4 linked regions of the Drosophila melanogaster genome follow. The protein of the gene in region 3 purifies or fractionates together with the protein of the main gene of each other region. This does not show direct contact. Each region holds a gene or a part of one and is shown on either strand. Other genes may lie near its edges. The genes, in order: Taf10, Nipped-A, Ada3 and Taf5.

The links.
Region 1: the proteins of Ada3 (region 3) and Taf10 purify together in Drosophila melanogaster (affinity purification with western blotting, with the first as the bait; one study listed by BioGRID). This does not show direct contact.
Region 2: the proteins of Ada3 (region 3) and Nipped-A purify together in Drosophila melanogaster (affinity purification with western blotting; one study listed by BioGRID). This does not show direct contact.
Region 4: the proteins of Ada3 (region 3) and Taf5 purify together in Drosophila melanogaster (affinity purification with western blotting, with the first as the bait; one study listed by BioGRID). This does not show direct contact.

What each region holds. Positions count from the first base shown.
Region 1 is NT_033779.5:2,766,183-2,769,119, forward strand, and holds Taf10 (TBP-associated factor 10), read left to right. Parts: upstream 1-1,707; 5' UTR 1,708-1,798; coding exon 1,799-2,044; intron 2,045-2,103; coding exon 2,104-2,361; 3' UTR 2,362-2,430; downstream 2,431-2,937. Other genes in the region: aph-1 (anterior pharynx defective 1), read left to right, coding at 133-525, 585-908; Taf10b (TBP-associated factor 10b), read right to left, coding at 1,155-1,595; colt (congested-like trachea), read right to left, coding at 2,463-2,937. UniProt on the Drosophila melanogaster protein: TFIID is a multimeric protein complex that plays a central role in mediating promoter responses to various activators and repressors.
Region 2 is NT_033778.4:5,247,996-5,252,956, reverse strand, and holds the start of Nipped-A (Nipped-A), read left to right. Parts: upstream 1-1,934; 5' UTR 1,935-1,991; coding exon 1,992-2,228; intron 2,229-4,961. UniProt on the Drosophila melanogaster protein: Part of the Tip60 chromatin-remodeling complex which is involved in DNA repair. Upon induction of DNA double-strand breaks, this complex acetylates phosphorylated H2AV in nucleosomes and exchanges it with unmodified H2AV.
Region 3 is NC_004354.4:18,083,798-18,088,934, reverse strand, and holds Ada3 (transcriptional adaptor 3), read right to left. Parts: upstream 3,175-5,137; 5' UTR 3,024-3,174; coding exon 1,353-3,023; coding exon of another isoform or gene 1,257-1,352; 3' UTR 517-1,256; downstream 1-516.
Region 4 is NT_033778.4:10,876,797-10,881,640, reverse strand, and holds Taf5 (TBP-associated factor 5), read left to right. Parts: upstream 1-1,967; 5' UTR 1,968-2,035; coding exon 2,036-4,150; 3' UTR 4,151-4,329; downstream 4,330-4,844. Other genes in the region: Pex6 (peroxin 6), read right to left, coding at 1-737, 801-1,313, 1,608-1,634; nclb (no child left behind), read right to left, coding at 4,425-4,844. UniProt on the Drosophila melanogaster protein: TFIID is a multimeric protein complex that plays a central role in mediating promoter responses to various activators and repressors. May play a role in helping to anchor Taf4 within the TFIID complex.

The sequences.
Region 1 (2,937 bases), on a different chromosome or scaffold from region 3:
AAACGTACAGTGTGGCAGCCCGAATGGCACTGCAAAAGTCTGGCAACTCTATGCGAGTCTCTGCTTCCTCTTCCCAAGTAAACCAAAACACCCACAGAGCAAAAGAAAAAACAGTAATAATACAAAGACAAGATGACGTTGCCCGAGTTCTTTGGCTGCACCTTCATCGCCTTCGGACCGCCCTTCGCCTTGTTCGTCTTCACCATCGCCAATGATCCAGTGCGGATCATCATTCTGATTGCGGCGGCATTCTTCTGGCTGCTTTCCCTGCTGATCTCTTCCCTGTGGTATGCCCTGATTCCGCTGAAGGAGTTCCTGGCATTTGGCGTGGTCTTCTCGGTGTGCTTCCAGGAAGCCTTCCGGTACATCATCTACCGGATACTGCGCAGCACGGAGCAGGGATTGCACGCCGTGGCGGAGGACACGCGAGTGACGGACAACAAGCACATCCTGGCCTATGTCTCCGGCTTGGGATTCGGCATTATATCCGGGATGTTTGCACTGGTCAATGTGCTGGCTGATATGGTGAGTGCAGCAAAGGTGCGTAATGTGCTCCGAGCAATGACAGATCTTTTGGTTTTTAGAGTGGTCCCGGCACCATGGGCTTGAAGGGCGGAACTGAGCTATTCTTCGTCACCTCGGCTGCCCAGGCGTTGTCGATTATCCTGCTGCACACCTTCTGGAGCGTTATTTTCTTCAACGCATTCGACACAAACAACTATATCCACATAGGCTATGTGGTTTTCAGCCACCTGTTCGTCTCCCTGATAACTCTGCTCAATGCCAATGAGCTTTACACGACCACTCTGCTGATAAACTACTTGGTCACCATACTTACGGGAGTCCTGGCCTTCCGGGTGGCTGGAGGAACATCTCGCAGTTTCAGAAAATTCATAACATGCCAGTAAACATACTCCTAGTATTAACCGCCTAGTTAATAGCTTTTGTATAACATTATAAAAAAAAACAAATTACCTTGTATATGCTCGATTAGTTACGCATTCTATGGACTTAAATCCCTTTACTAAATGGATTTCTTGAAAGAATGAGAATGCATTAAGATCCCAAGGTCTTTCGCAATAAATTCCCAAAACACAGATCTTAAGATACATTATTTTTAATGAGAAAAAAACTACTACAATGCATGCCATTATCTACTGACTATAGTCCACTTTCCTAACATTAATACCGTAGTCGGCCAAAGCCGGCTGCAGATCCTCCATGGTCAAGGTGAACTTGCGGTCCTTGGCCTTCGATCCTCCCGGTGTATTGGTGGTTTGCATATGGGTGCGCGCCTTGGAGTGCTGCAGTGCATCGTCGATGATGTCGGACATGTACTTCTGGGCGGCTAGGCTGATCAGCCGAACGATGCGCTTGTCGTCCGACTGAAAGCCTCCCATGTTGAGATAGTGCGAGGTGACCGCATCCGGAATCAATGGAGTATAATCTTCCAGCTGCGACATGAAGTCGCTGAGATGCGAAGATGGTGTGGTCCTATCCCGATCTCCACCGCCACCTCCTCCCGAGGATTGTCCATGACTGCTTGCGCCACCGGCGCTGTTGTGGTAAATAATTCCGAAATTGGAGCCCACCATCGAAAAAAGTGTACAATACAAATTAAACACAGTGCAGACGTAGTGATGGGAGATGCTAGTTATCGAATTATTCCGTATTGTTGCTGCCAGTGCTATCGATTCTTCTTACGGTTCGTCATCGATTACAATATAAACATACACACATATACACGCCAGCTGAGATAACAAATTTCTGGAAATAAACAATTAAAAAGTGGAAAACAATGGCTTCCGATGGCGAGGACATCAGTGTTACACCCGCAGAATCCGTAACATCGGCCACGGACACCGAGGAGGAGGATATAGACTCGCCACTAATGCAGTCCGAACTGCATTCCGACGAGGAGCAACCGGACGTGGAGGAGGTTCCTCTGACGACGGAGGAATCGGAGATGGATGAGCTGATAAAGCAGCTGGAGGACTACTCGCCCACCATACCAGACGCCCTCACCATGCACATCTTGAAAACGGTAGCTATATACCGGAAACTATTCTTTGTAGCATTTCTAATATTGGATTAAATCTGCAGGCTGGCTTCTGCACAGTGGACCCCAAGATAGTGCGCCTCGTCTCGGTGTCCGCGCAGAAGTTCATCTCGGATATTGCCAACGACGCACTGCAGCACTGCAAGACGCGCACCACGAACATCCAGCATTCCAGCGGACACAGTTCCAGCAAGGACAAGAAAAACCCCAAGGACAGGAAGTACACGCTGGCCATGGAGGACCTGGTGCCGGCACTCGCGGACCACGGCATCACCATGCGCAAGCCGCAGTATTTCGTTTAGATTTAGTTAAGCTCTAAAGTTTTGAATTGGGCACACAAATATAGCTAGTTTTCTTCAAGTTGTAAAAACATTTTAGCGAGGCACTTTCTTTATTAGACAAACTAGAAATTTGGAGCTACGATGTTAAAGAATTTGTTAGCCAACTCAATGCCGAAGAAGCAGGCAGCGTTGGCTGGGAAGGCTCGGAGCATGATGGGCGTCACGCCGCGGTACAAGGCCAGAGGTCCATCCTTGACAATCAGATCCTTGAAGACACTGCGTATGCCGTGCTTGTAGGTGCCTTCGGGAGCCGATTGTAGGCGGCTCTTTAACACGTCGGCTGGCATGCCCAGAATCCAGTAGGCCATGCCCGCCACTCCACCTGCGAAAATCGTTGAGGCAGTACTGATTTGTCCCGTCTCTGACTTCGACTTGGCCACATCCTGCAGCGCCTCGTAGACCAGGAAGTACAGCCCGTTGGCGGGCAAATCCCTGAGCATTGTGGCGCAGCTGCCCTTGAAAACGCTGCGAAGTCCACCCTCCTTGTATAGCTTGCCGGCGCAGTCGATCATGCCGTTGTACTTGCGCTCGCCACCC
Region 2 (4,961 bases), on a different chromosome or scaffold from region 3:
TTTAAATCCATGATTCGTAATGCGGCCTAAGGCTTCCGTTGAATTGCATGGATTCTGTGATGCTACCTATCAGTTTGTGGAGCGTGCTTATACTTGCAATCGAAGACTTATAGATAATAGAAAATCCATCTGCCCTGTGCCAAGCCAGGAGTTACTTCACTATGGGCCTTAACAATTCCAAGATTAAAACTTTCCACAGCGGTTTAATTGGCTGATCTATTCGTAAACGTCAAGGAATTAGACTCGTATATTGTGGAGATCCAGGAGATGACGCAAGACATGTCCTGACTTGTCTTGTCGCAAGGATGATTTCGATCAGATTAAATACTAAATACTTGTCTCTCAAACGTTGAGTTCTGCCTCGGCGTCGAGATATATTGTAAAAGCCCGTAGCCATTTCTTCCATTCATTTCGGAGGGTTGCCCGTCGATCGCCTCGCACTGAAACGGTTTTATGACAATGGTTTTATTTCCAATATGGGACCTAGAGTTGGGGTTTATAACGAAAACAACTATTAGATGTTTAATTTGTCTTGTAATTATTACCCATCCCTAATTCAATAATATCCCCGATTTACATTTGGGGATTAGTTGTTTTCGTTTGTTTGTTTGTTGTTTCTTCTTTGGCTTGCGGAGGGTAGCCTGCTCCACCCGACCTTTATATTATTATTATTTTTTTATGGAACTCAGATTAATTACCTAGCTCTTTTCTTAATAGCTGGTAATAATTTCTTTTCTTCTATTTTTAGATTTATTTGTTTATGTGTTTTTATTAATTTCTTTTTTTATATGTTTTGGCTTGTACCACAGCTCCTCTCTGTAGAGCTCGGCTTCAAAATTCTTTATCTTGCTTTTCTTAATATGCTTTGGCTTATACCATTACTCAGCTTATTTATTTCAGTTCACTTGGCTGTCGGTTGAAGTCATTGAAGTCATATTATTAATATTGCCTTCAATAATTAGAAGTCTTGCAGTTCGATCGCTCGATCGACCGCACTGGAGTGTTAGGTGTCAACGTCGCGTTCCGATGCTTAGTTGATTGCAATGCCGGCCGCCACAGGGATCTTTTGAAATATACACTAGTCGGCATAAGTATTTTGACAAAAAAAAGCTGCACACTTGTCAGTGAAACTTTTAAATGGCTTGATATGGTAGTATTGACTATTTTTTATTTTTTGTGTGTAATTAATATAAACTTAAAAATGAACAAACGAAATTGTTTTTATTTAAATTTAAAAAGTTATAAGAAACTTAATGAAATATGATGATTTTTTGTTTCGGCATAAGTAATTTGACAGGCCTTCAATTCAAGGTAAATAAGTCTAAATGAAGCTGGATTAGCTCCTTATTGAAAAAATGAATTTGGTTTATCCGTTTCTTTCGTCATCTATGACGATATGACCCACCATTGAATATTGAATATTGAATATTGAAATATTGGCACTCCTTTATTTATTATACCATTGAAGTAATAATCCGAGCATTTCGACCGACTATATTAAAGAACATAATAAAAAATCTAGTTATACCGAATTATTACTACATCCACAAATAAACGGAGCTAAATGTTCTTGTGATTAAATCCATCACTAACAATACACATTATTTAGTATTTTGTATGTTGATTTCCCTACACGTAAATATTTATAGAATAACACAGTTATTGAAATAAAATAGCAATAAAAAACATTTAAATTTAACTTAAAGATAGACAAGCCTGTATCCTGCAGTAAACATGCAAATAAGATGGAATTAATTCCGTGCCAATTTTTAACACTGAAGGTTGTGAAAGGTTTAATATAGATGCATCTCTGTGGGAGCTCTATATTATATAAAAAATTGAAGCATTTCTAAAATATTTTTGCGTTCCTGTTTCAAAATTTCTTATATGCTATCTTGACAAACAATTAAATCGAATATATCGGTCATACAATTTCCGACTATTCCTTTTTGTTTACAGCGGTCAAGTTGTTGAACGAGTTAAAAGGCACAATGTCGGTTATTGAAAATGTACCGGTGAATACATTTCGGAATTATTTAAATATTTTAAATGATTCCTCTTCTAAAGACGAACTTAAGCTGAAAGCTACTCAAGAGCTAAGTGAACACTTTGAAATGATAATGCAAAGTCCGGCATATCCGTCGTTCTTAGATAATTCTTTAAAAATATTTATGCGGATACTTCAGGATGGCGAACCTCAGTTCATTCAAGAAAATACAATGCAACACGTAAGTTTTAAAATTCACCATTGCATGGGCCTTAAATGAAGAAACCATGTTTGGTTGAAATAACTGTCAATGAATTTCGGCTTAAATATATGTAGTTATCTTTTAAAATGCAAAGTTGAAAATATTTTGTGTTTACATTTGTAACTCCCAATAATCGGAACTTTTATGTTTGTACAATACAATTATTTTATTAATATATTTTATATACTTATTTATGTAAAGCTATCTATATAGTACTATAGGGAAACCTTTCGGTGCCCTAGTAACAATCTTTTAAAACTGAAAACCACTGTTTCTGATATTTAAAACGACCGTGCATTGTGTTTGTGCTACGCAACTTTAAGTTTTGCGCAGATATTATGCATACATTGCCAGAAGAAGTATTATTTAAAGCATAACTTTGATTGCAAAAAAAGAGTATATTTTTATTATCGATGTCGACTTCATTAATTTTAAAATTTGAAACACATTTATTATTTATTACGTCCGTAGGTTTTCTTAGGTAGTATTATGTTTGGCAAACCAATAAAAATTTGAAAGTCACATAAAATAAAAAATTCAACAGATTTCTCAAATATGTGGGCGTGGGGTGTTTTGAACAGCTTGCCGGCGGGGTAACATGCGACTAAGTCTCTGTAGACTCGGCTAGTGATCCTGATCAGCGGAAGTTTCTTAACCCATGTTGTCTGGGGCCTGCTTACATATTCAGCACTGTTCTCAGATAAAAGAATAAGCAGAGAGGGAGACTCCACCTAATGCAAACAAGCAGTATCCAAAGCGGAGTTACCGAATAATGTAAACTAAAGGTTTTTTTTTTGCTTTTACTCTACGAGCAACGGGTATAATCATATATAATAAAATATGTCATCAAAGTTAGGCTTTAAGTGTTTACGCTGATACGGATGATACTGTTCCATAATGACTCCATTTTGCATCAGTTGGCGGTGGCTATATCTGGCACGGATTAGAAGATTTTTAATGTGCCTTCTTATATTCACCCGCCTCACATCTCAAATCTAAGAAATAAATTTTACTAGAGTTTTGTCCAATGATGTCCGAAACGTGCGATCAAAAAAGGGAAAAAATATCATTGTTTTAAGACATTGCATGGATATACTTTTTTGCGGGATAAGGAAAATAATGGTTTATACGAGATTATGCTGCAATCTACAATGTCGCCGTAGAACCTGTTTGCGTAGTACCGCCTCAAATTGAAAAGGAGCAGATTTTTGCAAACTCGCATTGACTTTTTGGGACATGCCATTGAAGGTGGGCAAATGTGGCAGGCCAAAAAATATTAAAGCTGTACAATCATTTCTGGGGCTAACAGGATTTTTCAGAAAATTTGTTCCAGGATATGCTTTAATCGCGCGTCCGCTGAAAATTTTTTTTGAAAAAAGATGCACTTTTCTACATTGGTGAACATTAAGCCATACAGCAATTAAAAGACGACTCAGACATTCCCGTACGGCAAATTTACACAAGAGATGCAGAGACAGAACTACACAGTGGCTCTTTAAAGGATGAATTTGGAGCTGTGTTGCGGCAGATGGTGGACGGCAGTTTTCATCCGGTTTATTATTGGAGCAGGAAGACTTCCGAAGCCGAATGAAAGCGACATAGCTATTACTAAGAAGACAAAGCAGCGTACATAGGTATGAAGAAGTTTCGTCACTACCTGCTAGGAATATAGTTCAAGCTCATTACAGATTGTGTCGCTTTTTAGCAGACTACAACCAAACAAGACGTACCGAGAGATGTAGGACCATGGATTATGTAAATTCAAGACTTCACTTTTACAGTAGAACACCGTGCCGCAGAAAAAATTAAGCATGTTGACTGCCTTAGTCGCTTTCCATAGAGTATGAGGGTTACTACAGAGATTACGTATTAAAAAAGCCCAGCAGGACGACGATTACACGACTGGTCAAGTATTTTTGGCTTTCCAACATGTATTGTAATCGATACAGGCTCAGCATTTACCTCGATTGCGTAAAAGGAGTTCACAGAAAGGCATAATGTAAAGCATGTATGTATAACGAAAGGAGAGGCAATGGCCAAATATTGTAGAAAATGTAAATCAATTTTGGCAATCATATCCAAGCTGTCGGCAGCGGAACCATCCAAGTGGGTCAAATATGTAATGGAAGTACAACAAATAACGGAAGCTGCTGTCCGTGAGGTTGGAGATAATCGATGAGCTTCAGAAACAGAAAAATCTCAACGAGCTCGAAGAACTGGCTTTTTACGAAATTGGAAATAATTTGATGTATTCTCGTGACTCTTAAATCCTCTGTTCGGGGGAGTTTTTAAACTGGAAATATCGAACAAATCGCTGAATTGCAATATCGCCCAAGTAATAGCTGGACACGCCGAGTCAGCCCAAATAGGAGGAGCATTTGGAAGACTTGAAGCAGCAGGACTCTGGAGACTGGATTTCGCATTGGCAAGCTATGCGCCATAGGTAGAATGTAATACAACATCTGAGTTCCGTAGTTCCGCCCTTCTTGCCCCAAGTCTCAGCCCTTCAACATGTGCCTTCTGTAATGCTCCTGGGAGCGCCCTAAAAACCTGACCCCGTCTGATCAATTAAAATTAGCAAAAAGGTTCGAACTTTTTTCTGATTCACATCTGCACTCTGCGTAACGTCTGCTACTCTTCTTGCTCAGAATCTTAGTAAGGATGTTATGCTCGTAGCCACTGCCACCGTATTAGCGATGAACCGATTAGGAA
Region 3 (5,137 bases):
GGTGGCGGGCGAAAGGGATCGACCAGTCAAGCAAGATGCACCGCGGCATACATGAAGTACAATGAATCTTTATACCCACAAACATCATCTAGCATACATTCAGAGGAAGGCCACTGACGACGTGTTCACCCAAGACTAAAAACTTGCACATATTAGAAGATCAGATTTGACTGCCATTTGCTACGTATAATAAAGTTTGTTTCTGGATATATTTGCCTGGCGATTAGCGTTCTAGAGATAGCCAATCCGCGTGGCCCGGAAGGGCTTCCTCCGATCGAAGATGGCCGGCTCGCTTGTTTGGCTTTAATTAGCCGTACGCTGGAGTTGCCGACTTTGATTGCGCCTTATCGGCTGGGCAAACAAGATCGAAGCAACGGCAGAGGATTCCCCACATCCGCTGGAGTTCACTTGCCCGCTTCGTCGGCCAGATCGAGCTCAAAGCGTACGCAGCGTTCGCCCAGCGCGGTGGTTTCTCTCCTCCCAAACTCACTCCCATGGTGGAAAATTCTGTGCTTTACTCTCGATAGTGACGACTTTATTGCCGCGCGATAACTTAAGCTATACAAAGTGTATGTATTTGGGAGTGTTAAATAGGGTGAATCAATATTTATAGTTGCGAAAGACATGAGGAAAACAACGTGCTCGTAAAATTTTGGGAAATTCCAGTAGCGGAAAGTTTTTCAGTTCATTTAGCGAATAATGCGAATCTCACCCTCCACTTTTATGTACACAAAATCAAATTTAGCATTTAGCATGTAAAATCTACGGATATCCATTTAATTTTCAGGCAATTACAAACAAATTGGCAAAAAACTGTAGGCTTACAGAATACGGAATACGTTACTAAGCAAGGAAAGGGAAATTATGATTTTGTAAAAGAACAGTTTAAAATACGCAAACGCTACTCTCCGCCACTTGAAGATCTTATCTAAATAATTAATTTCACTTTAATCTTGAACACTACATTCTATGAGCTAATGTATCTTTGTTAATGTACAGTCTGGTGACGAAGATAAGAATACGGGTTTGGAAGCTAGTCGAAAACGACTCAAAAGTGGCGTTCGATTTGGGGAAAACGAATGCCAAAACTCGAGGAAAACTTATGCAAAACATTTTCCGCCACCATGAGCGCATCTTCCCAAAACGTCCACAACTTGGATTGCGGACACTAGAGGCTACGTGTACGTGTCGAATAGCGTGGCTAATTTACAGTCTGGCGAAATGAAAGGAGTGGCGAGTAAGGAGGAGCAGCTCCTTCAGACGCACTGCAGCTTGAGGCTAGCGTCGCGGACCTGCCTCTTTGCCTGATGCATGGCCATTAGCTGGCACCAGCCCCAGGCCAGGCTCCTGTCCTACATCTTTGGCTCTAACAGGGAGTTGCCGGAGCCGCCGATGCAGGGCAGATGCATCTGCATACGCTCCAGCTGATCCGCAAGTAGGCGCTGCTCGTTGGTCAGCCGCAGTATCTCCTGCTTCTCCTCGATGGTGTGGCCCTTGCGCTTGGCCCGATACTGCAGCATTCGCTTGTAGCACTCGAGTATCTCCTGGTCCACCATGTCCAATTTCTGTTTGATGGCAATGCGCTTGATTTCCTCACTGGCAACGGCACGCAGTCGCTTCAATTCCTCGCTGTTAAACTGCGAAATGGTGCTGATTTCGGTCGTTACGCGCTTGATCTCCATCAGCACCTCGTCCACGTCTTCGTGGGCCGCAAACTCACTGGCATCGATCAGTCCGTTCTCGATGAGAGTCTTCTTCAGGCGCTGTTCGATGCCCACGCCGTGTTTCATCATGGCGAGAGATCGAAAGTTCCCGGAAGCAGCTGCTGCGGCAGCATTTGCCGAGGACGAGGAGTGCGAGTGGGTGTTCTCGTTGCTGCTGCTCGTGGTGCTGTTGCTGTGCTCGCCCACGGCGGCCTGTTCGCTGGGCAGCGTCATCAGGGACTCCTCCATTAAGGCGGACACCAAACGCTGGGTGAGTGGACCAGTGATGCTCTCATCCACCATGCCTTCGGCCTTTTTGAGCATTCCGCTGGAATTGTTCGATTTAATTCGAGCTCCGCCCGGCTGCAGCGCCTTTATATCCTCCTGGGCCCAAACTGTGGAGTAGTGGGGACCCAGAGGTGGCACTGGCGGCACCAGTGGACCCCAATACTGCTCCAGCAGGTCATCGATTAGGCGCAGATCCTCGTTGGTTAGAGGCATGCAGTAGGGCTCCACGGATAGCCAGAACTTGTTGGGCGTATCGTTCTTGGGCACCGTCATTTTCGGTAGCTGCGGCAGCGGCTGGTGATGCGGCAGCACGGATCCAGAGGCATTGGCGGCCGCCAGTGTGGGCAGATAGTCCATGCTGTCGTCGGTGTGCACGACCAAGGGGCTGTTCTTGGCCTGGTGCTTCGAGGTGCCGCCGGAAACGCCCTGTTGCTTGAGAATGGTCATCGAAGAGTGCTTTTTGCGCACGCCCGTTGGCTCATCCCGCTTGCGCTTCGATTGGCTAGAGGATGAGGCGCCTCCGCCGCCCAGCGGGCTGCCCAGACTCGTCGACGAGTTGCTGCCGATGCCCAGCAAGCCGTTGAGCATGCTAGCCGGACAAGGTGGCGATCCAGGCACACGGTCGAGCTTTCTTCGATCCTGGCGCTTCTCATCCTTGTCGAGGCTATCATACTCCGCTTTCAGGACGCGCGTGCGCAGCGCCACATTGGAGAGCATCTGTTCCAGCTCCAGTTGCACTGCATCCAGATCCTCGGCCGCCAAATGATCATCCGCCGGACGCTGCAGTGCCGCTGCAATGGTGGGCAGCAATTTGGGCACGTCCCGAGTGCGAATTATTGGTATAACGACGCCGCCGGGCGTGGCCAGCACCTCGGAGTCCAGGAAGGTGCTCGTTGGGGCGGATTTGCCGCCACCTGTGCCATTTGTGGGCAGTTTTCCAGCTCCTCCGGATGACGCAGAGATGCCAAAGCCACCGGAACCGAGCGAACCACTGAAGTGGGCCAGTTTGATATTCTTCAGGTTCGCACTCATGGAACGCGACTGCGACTGGTTGGGGACCTGTGTGTTAGCTAGATTGCGGATATATTTGCTGTTTTTCCTGCTTTTCTTGTGTTGTGAAAATCGCAATTTGTTTTGCGTCGATATGGCAGTGTGACCGTAGCGGAAGACGGGTAAATACTAATGTACAAGATGGTAAAATACTGGAATGGGCTACACGCGCGGGTTATGCACAGTGGGCCAAACAAAAAAAATTCTCATGAGTAGCTAAATATTTATAATTTAAGACATACTTAACTAGCATTTCATTAATTAACTTTAGCAGTAATTGAAACTGTTTATTTGACTTTATTTCAGCAATTGAAGATAACGGAACATTATCGCATGGATACATTTTCATACCACTTGATTTTATCCACAAAATAGTGAAAAATACTCTCTGCAACTATAACAGTGATCGTGCACAACAGAGCTGCTCCAGCGCTGTGCAACACTGGTGGCCGCGTAGCGCGCGTGCTTACCAATACTTTGCTTTTTTGTTCAGTTCTTTGTTGTTGTTTGGCGTTCGCATTTCGCCCGTCGTCGTCTGAATTTTTTAGTGATATGCGCGCTATTTCGGTGATAAGCAGTGTACTTAACAAATCAGCGACTGTTGACAATTTGTAATGGCCAGTGGGAGCAGCTTGCGATGTTAGAGTAGACCCATTCCCCCCCTTCCGCAGACGAACTGCAAGTGCAAACTGCAGTGTATGTATGTAATTTTATGTAATTGAACACCCATTTCCCAAACCCCACCCCCCCAAAATCCCACAAAGCATGCAAACACATCCAAACATTTGAACATCCAAGCACCCAAAACATCGAAGCATCCGATAATCTCGGACTGGTTGCCTCCAATTGCGCCTCGTTTGTCCAATTGTGAGGCGCAAATCACAAGACAAGTCGAATTGACGCTCAGCCGCCACGCCCCCTTCGCTGCTCACGACCACACCCCCCCTCCCCGCGGGCGGGAATCAACGAAAATCAAAAGCCAACATCCAGCGATTCAGTTCGGTTTAGTTGGGTTCAGTCGTGCCGACATATGCACAAATATCCCAGCTTCAAAACGCTGTTTCCCTTCGATTTGACTACACTTTCCCAACTGGGCATTTTCGCTATCAGAAGAGGTTTGCAATGCCACCTTTAAGCTATGATCTATCACCGAACTGCAAAAGTTTTTTATTTTCGTTCTACGCCAATTAACTTAACTTCGACTTGTCTATTTTACAATCAAAAAGTGCGAAGTGTATTGTTTAAGTTAAAATTCGATCCCCGAGAGTTTCGGTTCTAAAGATCCTAAAATAAACAGTGAAAACAATTTAATATAAATGAACAGCGGACAAAAGTGTTTTATTTAAGCTTGGTTTCATGTTTTGTATTCCATAAGATGTGTACATTAAAGAGAAGTGATATATTCGTTTCGAGTTTCTTTTGTTTGTTCTTCAATACAAAGATAAATACAAGCTTCCCCCATCTATTATCTCAAGTAAAAAGTGATCATCAGTCTATATAGTTCTTTGTTTCTTTAGTTAATTCTTTGTTTTTGCTATTTGCAATCTTGGCAATGTGAATATCATCTGGTAGATAGAACAACTGAAAATCGTAGCTAATTTGAATTTATATCTCGTCATAGAAAGGATAGTGTACACACAAACACGTTTGTTTTGCGAGATAATCCCATCGTGGATTGCACATAATATCTAGAACAATATGTCGAACAATAACCGCGGGCGGGTAAGGGTATTTGCAGTGCCGCCAAAACCTGAACAAACCCTCCGCTCTTGTTTTATTGATCAAATATTTGCGTCTACGTGTGTCGTCGTCGTCGTCGATGTGTTCCGTTCCGGCGATGTCTCAGCGATTATGGGGCTTTTGTGTGTCAGCTGTTGTTTGAAAACGGCACTAGCACATGTTTTATAAGCCCAGTCGCAGGCCAGTCGGCTCGTTATCAGTGCCAATTAAACCGGAGAAGAGAAATCTGTAACCACCGGCGATAGTGGCGATAAGGTCGCAGCCCTGAGATGATCGGGGATAGCTTCAGCGATGCACCCACCGGCTATGTCGATCGATCAGAGCGCAGCTCCTACCATCCATTACGATTATGACCA
Region 4 (4,844 bases), on a different chromosome or scaffold from region 3:
ATCATAAGCGGTTCACAAACTTGGCTCTTGGCAAATACGGCTTTTAGCTTCATCTCCGTGTGGGAGGGAACTTGCGAAACGATCTCTGCGCAATCTGCTCCGTAAATATGCATCCCCAACTCTTGGGCTACGGCGCTCACAAGCTTTGATTTGCCCGATCCTCGCTCGCCTTGCAGGAGGAACACAGGAAATATGTGCTTTGACGACAGGCAGGCGGACTTTTTTGGCAGGAAAGCATCTACTGAGGAGCGCAACAGCTTATAGGGCTTTCGAAGTCCACTTGGATAGTTCTCAACGATGGCCATGCTGTCAAGCACTTGACGAGGCAGGAAACTGTGAGATGCAGGCACTTGAACAAGGTTGCTAAAGTTTTTGGCAACAATCGCTTGCAGCTCGAACTCGCTGCCCTTTGTCTCCAGGTGAATACACTTTAGGTGGACGTGGCGTAGGTGAGCGAATATCAGGTAATAGTGGGCATAAGTCGCAGTGCCCACCAACTCTGCGTTCACCTCGATGCGGTAGGTATGTCCACGATGCATGAGTCGAGGTGTATTGAAATAGTTGCTCAGGATGACCTCTGTCAGTTCGGCGGGAAGTTCATGGGGATCTGCGACTAAGTACACATGTGCTTTGGTTGCTATTCCAGGTATTGTCTGCTCATCGGCAAAATGCTCTACCTGCACCCAGCAGTTGGAGCGGATTTGAAAGCGATCCAATATGTTGCCGTAGAAGTTCTCCTGAAATTTTACACGATGTAGAATTATAGAAAATATTCCATTTATTTAGAACTAGATACCCACCTGAACGTACAGACAATTGGGTTGGCACTGTGCAGCCGGCAAGATCTGGGCCACAATCGTATGCGGCGCCTCCTGGAGCATTTGCTTGATAACCGTTTGGGTCATATTTCCTTCGTCTGAAGCTAGCGGCTTACCGATTCTTACCCTCCTGCCGCGGATAACCAAGTTGACAAAGTTGACGTCCGGCGATTCCGCATAGTTTTCGTACACCTCCTGACTGGCGAACACCAGGTGCTCCGACTTAATCTGCTCGTTCTTGATCAGCAGATCGTAGAGGCGGTTCGGAATGGGGGTCAGCAGAAACTTGCCCTTGTAATATTTGGCGTAACGCCAGTATACGGCGTATGTCAGATATCCGGGGTAGAGGAACCAGGGCCACTTGGGCGCCAGCAGCTGTATGGCCGAATTGTAGCCCTCGACTAGCTCCTGTACTCTCCCAGAGAAGCTAAATCTCGGCTGTCCTGGATCTTGTTGATCGAACGACACCGAATTCCGCTTGCCGACGACTTTTTTCTGCGGGAATTGATCACGATATTAGCTAATATGGCTTAAATGTTACATATGGACCTACCGCATCATCATTTTCATTCATTTTTTACAATAAATATGGACTAAACACAACAGAAAGCACGAGTACAAGGGTTAATTTCGAGGAGGCGGTGTCAAAGTTCAAGGAGTTGGGGGATAGGCGCCAGACAAATACACTGAAATATGCAATGGCAAGTTAATTCTGTTAATGCACAGCAAATTATTACCCTCTGCTATAAAAATTAGCTTGTTTATTTGGCCAGTTACTTTGTATTTTACCTTTTTCACAATTACTCTCCTCTTCATTACGAATGTTTTGATTCTGGTAAGATATTTGCTCAAAAAATACTAAAAGTATTCAGTCAGCTGTCCACAGTAAGACCTTTATAAGCACATCTTCAAATAATTTCTTTGACCTGCATAAAAGTTAAATATTAATTTTGTAGTAAAATGAAAGAATGAAATATGTCATTATATTTTAAGTAATTCCAAAAATTGGCAAAAAGATATAATTTATAATGTATTAATACAATTTATTTTTAGAATCCGTCTTCGCTAGTGGCTACTGTATATTTTGACTGTACTTGGTGCATTTTAGTATATTTCATTCTCCACTTGGCCGTTTTCAACCGATGCCAACCTGGTCACACTTTTCCACGCATAACAAAATAGTACACAAGTTCCATATATTTCAATTTTCCGCGAAAATGAGCCTGGAAGTGAGCAATATAAACGGGGGAAACGGTACTCAATTGTCCCACGACAAGCGTGAGCTGCTGTGCCTGCTGAAACTCATCAAAAAGTACCAGCTGAAGAGCACTGAGGAGCTGCTCTGCCAAGAGGCGAATGTGAGCAGTGTGGAATTGTCGGAAATCAGCGAAAGTGATGTTCAGCAGGTGCTGGGCGCAGTTTTGGGAGCTGGCGATGCCAACCGGGAGCGGAAACATGTCCAATCTCCGGCGCAGGGTCATAAACAGTCCGCGGTGACGGAGGCCAATGCTGCAGAGGAACTGGCCAAGTTCATCGACGACGACAGCTTTGATGCTCAGCACTATGAGCAGGCATACAAGGAGCTGCGCACTTTCGTTGAGGACTCCCTGGACATATACAAGCATGAGCTGTCCATGGTTCTGTACCCAATTCTGGTGCAGATCTACTTCAAGATCCTCGCCAGTGGACTAAGGGAGAAGGCCAAAGAATTCATTGAGAAGTACAAATGCGATCTCGACGGCTACTACATAGAGGGTCTTTTCAACCTTCTTTTGCTGTCTAAGCCCGAGGAGCTGCTGGAGAATGACCTCGTAGTAGCCATGGAGCAGGATAAGTTTGTCATTCGCATGTCCAGGGACTCGCACTCTCTGTTCAAGCGACACATTCAGGATCGCCGGCAGGAAGTGGTGGCAGATATTGTTTCCAAGTACTTGCATTTCGACACATACGAGGGCATGGCGCGCAACAAGCTGCAGTGCGTCGCCACCGCGGGCTCGCACCTCGGAGAGGCCAAGCGACAGGACAACAAAATGCGGGTGTACTACGGACTGCTCAAGGAGGTGGACTTTCAGACTCTGACCACTCCAGCGCCGGCACCAGAGGAGGAGGACGATGATCCGGATGCCCCGGATCGTCCGAAAAAGAAAAAGCCAAAAAAGGATCCCCTGCTGTCGAAAAAGTCCAAGTCGGATCCGAATGCTCCATCCATCGACAGAATTCCCCTGCCGGAACTGAAGGATTCGGACAAGTTGCTAAAGCTTAAGGCTCTCAGGGAAGCCAGCAAGCGTTTAGCCCTCAGCAAGGATCAACTGCCCTCTGCCGTCTTCTACACGGTGCTTAATTCCCATCAGGGCGTAACCTGTGCCGAGATTTCAGACGATTCCACGATGTTGGCCTGTGGATTTGGCGATTCTAGCGTGAGGATTTGGTCATTGACGCCCGCGAAGCTGCGTACGCTGAAGGATGCAGATTCCCTTCGCGAACTGGACAAGGAATCGGCGGATATCAATGTGCGTATGCTGGATGACCGAAGTGGTGAGGTAACCAGGAGCTTAATGGGTCACACCGGACCCGTATACCGCTGTGCCTTTGCCCCCGAGATGAACCTGTTGCTCTCATGTTCCGAGGACAGCACCATAAGGCTGTGGTCTCTGCTCACCTGGTCCTGCGTAGTCACCTACCGCGGGCACGTTTACCCGGTGTGGGATGTTCGCTTTGCGCCGCATGGCTACTATTTTGTTTCTTGTTCGTACGACAAAACTGCTCGTCTGTGGGCCACGGATTCCAATCAAGCGTTGCGCGTATTCGTGGGTCACTTGTCGGACGTGGATTGTGTACAATTTCATCCCAATTCCAATTATGTGGCCACCGGTTCTAGCGATCGCACGGTACGCCTGTGGGACAACATGACCGGTCAGTCGGTACGCCTGATGACGGGCCACAAGGGATCGGTGAGTTCTCTGGCCTTCTCCGCCTGCGGCCGGTATCTGGCCTCGGGTTCAGTAGATCACAATATCATCATCTGGGATCTGTCGAACGGATCCCTGGTCACCACCCTGTTGAGGCACACTAGCACTGTGACCACGATCACCTTTAGTCGCGATGGAACAGTCCTGGCTGCAGCCGGCTTGGATAACAATCTAACTCTGTGGGACTTTCACAAGGTTACCGAAGACTATATCAGCAATCACATCACTGTGTCGCACCATCAGGATGAGAACGACGAGGACGTCTACCTCATGCGTACTTTCCCCAGCAAGAACTCGCCATTTGTCAGCCTGCACTTTACGCGCCGAAATCTCCTGATGTGCGTGGGTCTATTCAAGAGTTAGGAGCACAGATAAGCTTATTTGGTATACGTAATGTAGTGTTAAGGAATGCTCGGAATGTTTAGGATTAATGTTTTGTATTTCGTTTGTGACCCATCCCCCCTGAAATGTCGATTAGTTGTTTAAGCATAAAAGTGTAAAGTGCATATATGCGCAAGTTATCAATAAATTTTAATTAATATAAAAGTCAATCATTAAGGTTCTTATATATAATTCATATTTATTTAAAAGTCATATAAAGCATATACACAGATAAATACGTAGCTGTACGATTTGCCTACTCTGCATCAGGGATTCCAAACGTTCGGCGCACGGCTATCGAGTTCTTGATGTTAAAGATCGCACAGCGCGGAGGCTTCTCTCCGCCGAAGGCCAGGGTGTAGGGATCCTCGGGGCACTGGCGCATGCACTGCAAGCGACCCATGTTGAACTCGTGCTCGTAGACGTGCTTTGCCTCTGTGCCATCAAAGTTCCACACCTTTAGGGTGCCCTCCGTGGAGGTGGAGGTCAGCAGATTAGGCTTCTGGTTGTTGAAGCACACACCGGAGATTTCCTCGTTGTGGGCCTTTACGGACCACAGCAGTTGTCCAGGAGAACGTTTGTCGGCGTAATGCAAGGTGCCATCGTTGGTGCCCACGATGAAGTAGTCGGTCTGTGTGGGATGCCACAGGACCTTCTCCACTTCACCGTCAACTTT